Linked DNA regions of Ovis aries. Each later gene encodes a partner of the first gene's protein in a complex. Links are inferred from orthologs where the notes say so. Each region holds a gene or a part of one and is shown on either strand. Other genes may lie near its edges. The genes, in order: EIF3D and EIF3F.

Region 1 (4,261 bases):
AGTCTGCAACCTAGTGAGCACAACAAGGGAAGGCAGAGAGCACACGTCAACCAGGCAAGTTTCTGCTGACCCAGAAACCCCCTCCTCCCAAGTGAGGACACAGTGTCACAAAGTGTTAGAAAGACTGGCTCAGGATAGCTTCGTAAGAGCCCAGCTCTCCTATGACCACTGGAAGTAGCCAGAGCTTCTAACCATTATCCTTTTGAGAGAATAAAATTGAAATGAACTTGGAGCATCAGCTGCAGCTTTAAAAGATTCAGACCCCGCTGACAGGCAGGCACCTTTCCGAGCCGATCTCCTTTGCTGAACGGCTGGTAGGGCATATCCCGAAACTGCTCCGGAACTGCACAGGGACCCCAGCCTGAGGGGTTGTCCTGGATCACGGGTGTCATGAACTTTGCCATCTTTTAAAACCTTAAAAATACAAATAACAAAGTAACTCCATGAAGAAAAGCCTCTAAAAAACAAACAAACAAAAAAACCCGAAGTCTTCCATTTGAGGTAAGCTAATACAGGATAAAGTTAAAAAAGCAAAACACAGAACAGAACCCTCAACTGCTGAGCTACTCTCCACTTACCATCTTCTTGTGAATAAGACTGTGAATACTTAAAACTCAGACGACTGCTCACCAAATTTATGTATCATATCTCACCATTTGTTTTTTCCCACTGTACTATCTCTGACATGAACCTGCACCTTCTAACTGATGAGGTGTCATACCGTATCTGGCAACTTTTCTTTCTTAGTGTTACATGAAGATATTGTGCTTCTTGAATTCAGTGATGTCTTACAGACTTGATGAAATGTAATTAACTTTTTTTTGAGTTTAATAACCAGGTTCCAGTTTTCATTCACACCTTTACCAGACATACAATATTTAATTCCCCTAAACCTCAGTCTCTTTACCTGAAAAATAATAAGATCCTTGTTTTATTCCCATCAGAGGATCACTGTGAAAGCTGTATATATTAGTTAACATAAGCAGAAATAGTTCCATTGTAAAACGCCAGACACTTACTATTCTGTCTTACAAAAATACATTTACACACAGTGCCGAGAAAAAACAAGGGTCCATGAATGTATCCTGAAATGCAACCTTCCTTTGTTGTTCTTTCAATTTTCTGTTGTCAGTGTAAATTCTTATGCAGGGCATAGAAGTCAGGCAGAAAGCCCAGCAGAAGGTTGAGGAAGCCAGAAGCCTTATGTCATGAAAGTGGCCGAACACAGCCAATGTTCATAAACATTATGAGTACCAGGCATGTTGTTAGCGCTTTCCACACATTAATTCATTAACTCCTCAACAATCTCCTCCCGAGGTAGGGCCAGTATTAGCCCCACTTTCCAGAGAAGAAAACTGAGGCACAGAGATATCAAGAAATCGCCCAAAGTTGCAACACTAATGGATGAAAATCTGAACCCTGGGAAACTGGCTTCAGAGTCCACACTTTGTGTAAGGCCAGTACTCCGCTCAGGAAGAGTAAAAACCAGGGGCTCGACAGATATCTGCCAAACAATTCCTCCCCAAAACTCATGCATGCATTTATCATCCATTCTAATCCCCTGAAAATGCCCAGAAGCTGAGTTCCCAGGGGAAAATTCACCACACAAATATTTCCAGAGTCTGGGGAGCAATCAAAGAGCTGCTGCTGCTAAGTCACTTCAGTCATGTCTGACTCTGTGCGACCTCATAGATGGCAGCCCACCAGGCTCCCCTGTCCCTGAGATTCTCCAGGCAAGAACACTGGAGTGGGTTGCCATTTCTTTCTCCAGTGCATGAAAGTGAAAAGTGAAAGTGAAGTCGCTCAGTTGTATCAATCAAAGAGCAAAGAATACTAAATTTATGAAACTCTCTTCATTTTCCCATGATGGGGAGAGTTCCTAGAGGTGACACTTGCGTGATCCAAAAGGGCATGAACCTGGAAGCCCCATCCTCCTACCTAAACTTAAATTACACTACAGGAAGCGGACTGAGGGAGAGTGTGGTGGTCTCAAAACAATATACCCTTATATATTACCAGGGTCCTACAACATGTCAGATGCAACACCACTAAACCCCTAGGCCCCAATTTCAGATTAAAAAAAAAATACACAGTTCAGCCAAATCAAGCAGCTGATCTCATCATTTCAAGATAGACTTGGTTTCTAGGGTCCTCTGTCTTAAGTGTAACACTCTTCCCATTATTTTACAGCTGGACAGCAGCCTGAAAAGATCCTGGGTTTCAGATCATATCAATAACACAGTGAGATATCTCCAAACACACTTTAAAAGGGGCGGAAGGAAGTCGCTTGGTTTCAACGCGTAAACTAAAAAGTAGGCAGAGTACAATGTAACCAACAGGGGAAACTAAATCTTTCAGTTGAAACGGAGTGACAGCTGTACTGGCTACAGATAAAGGATGGGGCGGCATCAACAGGACAGTCATAGGGAGAACCTTGTGGCTGGCAGGTTACTGCAGATCGTTTGCCAATTCCTGGGCGGTTAATGTCAAATCAGAGATCAACCAACTACATCCTAGCCTTCCATTTCATAGGCAAGGAAAAGAAACATTTAGACGGTGAACTCCTCAGAGCAGGGCCGAACATCGCTCAGTTTGGCACACCCAATAGCCCTCTCGTAGAAGCTCAGGGAACCGTGGGGCACTTTAAAAGACCCTGAGACTCAGCGGGGTTAATGACATGTTCACATCAGAACACACTGTCGGTGGCCGCTAAGCGGACTCCACGGAAAGAGACCTCAACCACAGGCTCTGCCCCGCACTGGGTCGGACCTGGGGGGACCGAAGGCGGATTCCTGCCCCTCCCAGCGGAGGTACAGGGAAGCAGGAGGGGGCGTACGGAAGTCTCTTCCGGCAGGCCCCCGAAGGCCAGGCGCAGCTCAACTCTGCTCTGGAGATCCGCGGAAGCGTACGGAATACGCTGCTTACCTGTAACGGCCGTAACCGGCCCCGATGGTGAGAGATAGTCTAGGCCGAATACCGCGCCACCGCCTGAGCTACGGGGAACCGGGAAAGGAGGAAACATGCGCGCGCAGCGGCCGGCACCGTAAATACGACCGACGGTGTCGTAAACTGCTTCTTGGCTTCCTTCCGGTTCGACGGCGGAACACGCGAGTCGTAAAGCGAAGGCACATCCGGAAGTTCGTCCCTGTTCTCTTCGCGGTGTTCTTATTTAGCCTTCGAGGATGTTTACAGTTACGTCATGGGGCATCCGGCGACACTCCGAGAGTTTCAAGTTTCTTGAAACGTGGCGGCCTTGTAGTTGGAGTTGGAAGCGGCGACTGGCTGAAAGCCCCTCTATGTCCCACAATGCCTTGCGGGCCGCTCTGGCCCTCTGTATCCCACAACGACCCGCGGCTTCTGCCTTCTTTAAAAGATCGTGTTGTTTGAGTTTCACCGTTAGGGGGAGTTCGAGTCTTTCAGGCAGGTTTTTGCGGCTACTCGCTGAGCTTTGAGCGCTTTCGGAAACAGACCAGGAGGTGCAAAGTGACCTGAGTAGATCAGACTACTAGTGTCGGAGGTCGCTGCCAGTGTTCAAACCATACCTCCACAGTTCTCAGACTTTCTTGTTTGACAAAGATTCCTGGAGAGCTAATTTGAAAAATGAAGATTCCGGGTCCCCTTCCATAGACTGTTATACAAGCGTGGCTTAGCTGGAGCCCAGAAACCTGCATTTTAATTGGTGGTGATTCTGAAGTGGCGACTCAGGAACCACCTGGCTACGATGGCAACGGTGCTGTCTTTTTGGAAACTCAGCCTACGGAGTTTGTCCTGCAGCACGCCAGGCCTCCCTGTCCATCACCAACTCCCGGAGTTCACTCAAACTCACGTCCTTCAAGTAGGTGATGCCATCCAGCCATCTCATCCTCTGTCGTCCCCTTCTCCTCCTGCCCCCAATCCCTCCCCAGCATCAGAGTCTTTTCCAATGAGTCAACTTCGCATGAAGTGGCCAAAGTACTGGAGTTTCAGCTTTAGCATCATTCCTTCCAAAGAACACCCAGGACTGATCTCTTTCAGAATGGACTGGTTGGATCTCCTTACAGTCCAAGGGGCTCTCAAGAATCTTCTCCAACACCACAGTTCAAAAGCATCAGTTCTTCGATGCTCAGCTTTCTTCACAGTCCAACTCTCACATCCATACATGACCACTGGAAAACCATAGCCTTGACTAGGCGGACCTTTGTTGGCAAAGTAATGTCTCTGCTTTTGAATATGCTATCTAGGTTGGTCATAACTTCCTTTCCAAGGAGTAAGCGTCTTTTAA
Region 2 (3,036 bases), on another chromosome or scaffold:
AAAACTGTGCATAGAAAACAGGGCAGTACAGATTGAAGAATGGCTGTCCTTATCTTACACATGTCTATTAATCCTGGATATAGTACAGTTCGAATGATAGTAACATTGCTCTGTTGGCACATTGAGCTTGCAAGCAACTGGAATGCTGGGTGATGGGGGATGTTGGGAAAGGCTATAGTGGCATGCCAAAAAAGCGGCGGCTGTAGGAGTTGAAAGGATTATATTTTCTCCTTGGAATGATGCCCTTTGTTAGTGCATCTCTTACGACACTTAACTTTGTGCTGTTTCTATCTCTGACGCTGAAGTGACCCGTTAACCATTATGCGGTGGGATAGAGGTGGTGCATGTCAGTTCTTACAGGCCAGTTATTATACTACTAAACTCTATTTGTTGATTTCTTAGCCTTTCCAAATATTTCAGACTCCTGTAGATCCAACGAAAGTGTATAGTTGACTAAGTAAAGGCAGTCACCTTTACTGAGATTAATTATTGCACCCAGTCTAATCTTGATGGACCAGAATAGATTTTTTTTTTCAGTGCTGATGAGTGCTTTTTGGTCCCAGAAGAGACCTGTCCTGTCACTTCTTTCTGTGGGGAAGGATGTCTAGGCACCCAGTTCCACAGGGATATTCAGCGTCCTGTCCTCTTCACTGAGATTTCAGTGTGTGCAGTAATCCTCTGTAAAGGGTCCAGGCCCCATCCAAATGCTGAGTCCATTCTCTCAGGCCAAGAGTTTGGTTTGTGGAAAGAGCTAAGGGAAGAAAGTGGCTTGTTCTCTTCAGACCTCTGGGCTTCATCTGGTCCAACCTTCTCATCTCAGAACCTTGGAAGCCATACTCTTGATATGCCTGCTTTCCCAGCCAGGACCGAACATGGAAACTGTCCCCCAAAGCCATCTGTTAACCTTGACTTCTGTCTCTGCAGCACTTTAATGGGTGTTCCTGGGAGGACCATGGGGGTGATGTTCACCCCTCTAACAGTGAAATACACATACTACGACACTGAACGCATAGGAGGTAAGTGACCTCCCCATTTTTAGGTCCTGGACATTTTTCAAGGGAGGGGATTTCTATATAACAAGGATGGAGGACCTTGGGTGGCTTAAGAGCAACCATTGATCTAAGGTTTGTATGGGACTCAAGGAATTATTTGAGAAGTTGTTAGAGGTGGGAAATCATCAGCCCCAGAGGCTACGTGGCCAGTCATATAAGACCAAAACTAGTGATTAGCATCCTAGGTGCAGGAGTTGAACTCTCTCAGAGGAAGAAAAGCTAGTGGGGGGGGGGGGGGGGTGGGGAGTTCAGGGAAGCTGACTGAGTCCAGAAGGAGGTAGTTAGAGCTCGCTTTTCTGATGGGATGGCTGAATTCTCTTGTCTCTTGCACCCCGCCTGCTCCCACAGTTGACCTGATCATGAAGACCTGTTTTAGCCCCAACCGGGTGATCGGCCTCTCCAGTGACTTGCAGCAAGTGGGCGGGGCTTCCGCTCGCATCCAGGACGCCCTCAGCACAGTGTTGCAGTATGCGGAGGACGTGCTGGTGAGGACGGGAGGAGGAGGGCGTGGGTCTCCGCTGCGAGGCGGCAGGGGCTGCACTGGCGAAGCCGCGGTCTCAGAGGCAAGAATTAACCGTGCTACATTGACTCTTTTGGTGCTTAGTCTGGGAAGGTGTCAGCCGACAATACCGTGGGCCGCTTCTTGATGAGTCTGGTTAACCAAGTACCCAAAATAGTTCCCGAGGACTTCGAGACCATGCTCAACAGCAATATCAACGTGAGTGGCGTCCCTGGGCTCCTGGGAGCCTGCACCTCAGCACGTACACGTGTGAAGGGGGTGGAGGAGGTGGCCTGGAGAGGACAGAGGAGGTGGGGCAGCACGTTTGGCCCCCTTGCAGTCCAGGCTGTGAGGAGGAGAGCACAGGTGCTCAGAGATTCTCCTGCCGTTTCTTTGCTTCCCATGACTCGGGTGTATCAGAGATGGGACGATGTTCTCAGGCGTTTCCTTTCTGTCTTCCTCCTACTCTCAGTCAGCCTCTCCCAGCTTTCATTTGCCCAGGACTGCCTTACCCTCAGTGTCCATCACACAGCTGGCCAGCCTTTCTGCTTACTCTCTACCCAGCCCCGCACTCATCCTGGATTCCTTCTCTTCTAGGACCTGTTGATGGTGACATATCTGGCCAACCTCACACAGTCACAAATTGCCCTCAATGAGAAGCTTGTGAACCTGTGAAGGGGCCGCGGGCAACCCTCCTGCTACACTGGGCCCCAGCCAAGCCCAGGACCCAGAATGGAGTGAAGGAGAAATGGTGTCTGTGGTCTGAGTCACACTGAGTCAATCAACTGCTTGTGACTCTAAATAAACATAGAGTACCTTTCGTAAGTGAATTCCATCTAATGTGAGTTTCCCTCTGGGTGGAAGGGAAAAGGCAGTTCTGGAGCTCACCCAGGAACTAGGAAGTGAGTACTTTGGTGGAAGCGGTCGTGTGTGTGTGGTCTGAATCCAGGGCTGGATTTTTTTCTTGTGCCACTGTCTGCTTCATAGTTTAGTTGCCCAGTGAAATAACTGCTCTCATAAAGCAAAAATACAACATAATGGGAATGTAAGGGCTGACCAGAGTCTGTCAGAGTCTATGTAAGACATGATATCTGAGCTGATGTTTTTTTCTTAAAACCAGGAAATCCGGAAAGGGTGATTGGGACAAAGGAAGTACATGGAAAATTGCTTAACCTGTTTAGAATCTAAGAAGGCAGGAGCCAGACCAGAAGGGCCCACAACCTGTGGAGTTTGGATTTTTATCCTGGAAGTTGTGGGAAGGCATTGGATAATTAGATTTGGATTTCAGGAAGATTACTGGGTACTGGTATAGAGGAAGGAGGGAAAGGGAGAAAAACAGAAGGCAGAGAGCTAGGCAGAGGGTCACTGTGATTGTCAAGAGAGGACGAGAGCCCAGGTTCAGGCTGGGCCTTGGGGATGGTGACAGAGACTTGGGTTCAGGAGGCAGACCCAAGGAGGACCTGGAGTCTGGTTGACACTTGGATG

Evidence for each region.
Region 2: EIF3D (region 1) and EIF3F share a complex: the UniProt entries of both Homo sapiens proteins name them as parts of the eukaryotic translation initiation factor 3 (eIF-3) complex. The link is inferred for Ovis aries from reciprocal best matches to the Homo sapiens genes EIF3D and EIF3F.

The regions. Positions count from the first base shown.
Region 1 is NC_056056.1:180,582,082-180,586,342, forward strand, and holds the start of EIF3D (eukaryotic translation initiation factor 3 subunit D), read right to left. Parts: upstream 3,052-4,261; 5' UTR 2,926-3,051; intron 415-2,925; 5' UTR 405-414; coding exon 282-404; intron 11-281; coding exon 1-10. UniProt on the Homo sapiens protein: mRNA cap-binding component of the eukaryotic translation initiation factor 3 (eIF-3) complex, a complex required for several steps in the initiation of protein synthesis of a specialized repertoire of mRNAs.
Region 2 is NC_056068.1:44,240,040-44,243,075, reverse strand, and holds the end of EIF3F (eukaryotic translation initiation factor 3 subunit F), read left to right. Parts: intron 1-924; coding exon 925-1,016; intron 1,017-1,400; coding exon 1,401-1,537; intron 1,538-1,656; coding exon 1,657-2,148; coding exon of another isoform or gene 2,149-2,226; 3' UTR 2,227-2,381; downstream 2,382-3,036. UniProt on the Homo sapiens protein: Component of the eukaryotic translation initiation factor 3 (eIF-3) complex, which is required for several steps in the initiation of protein synthesis.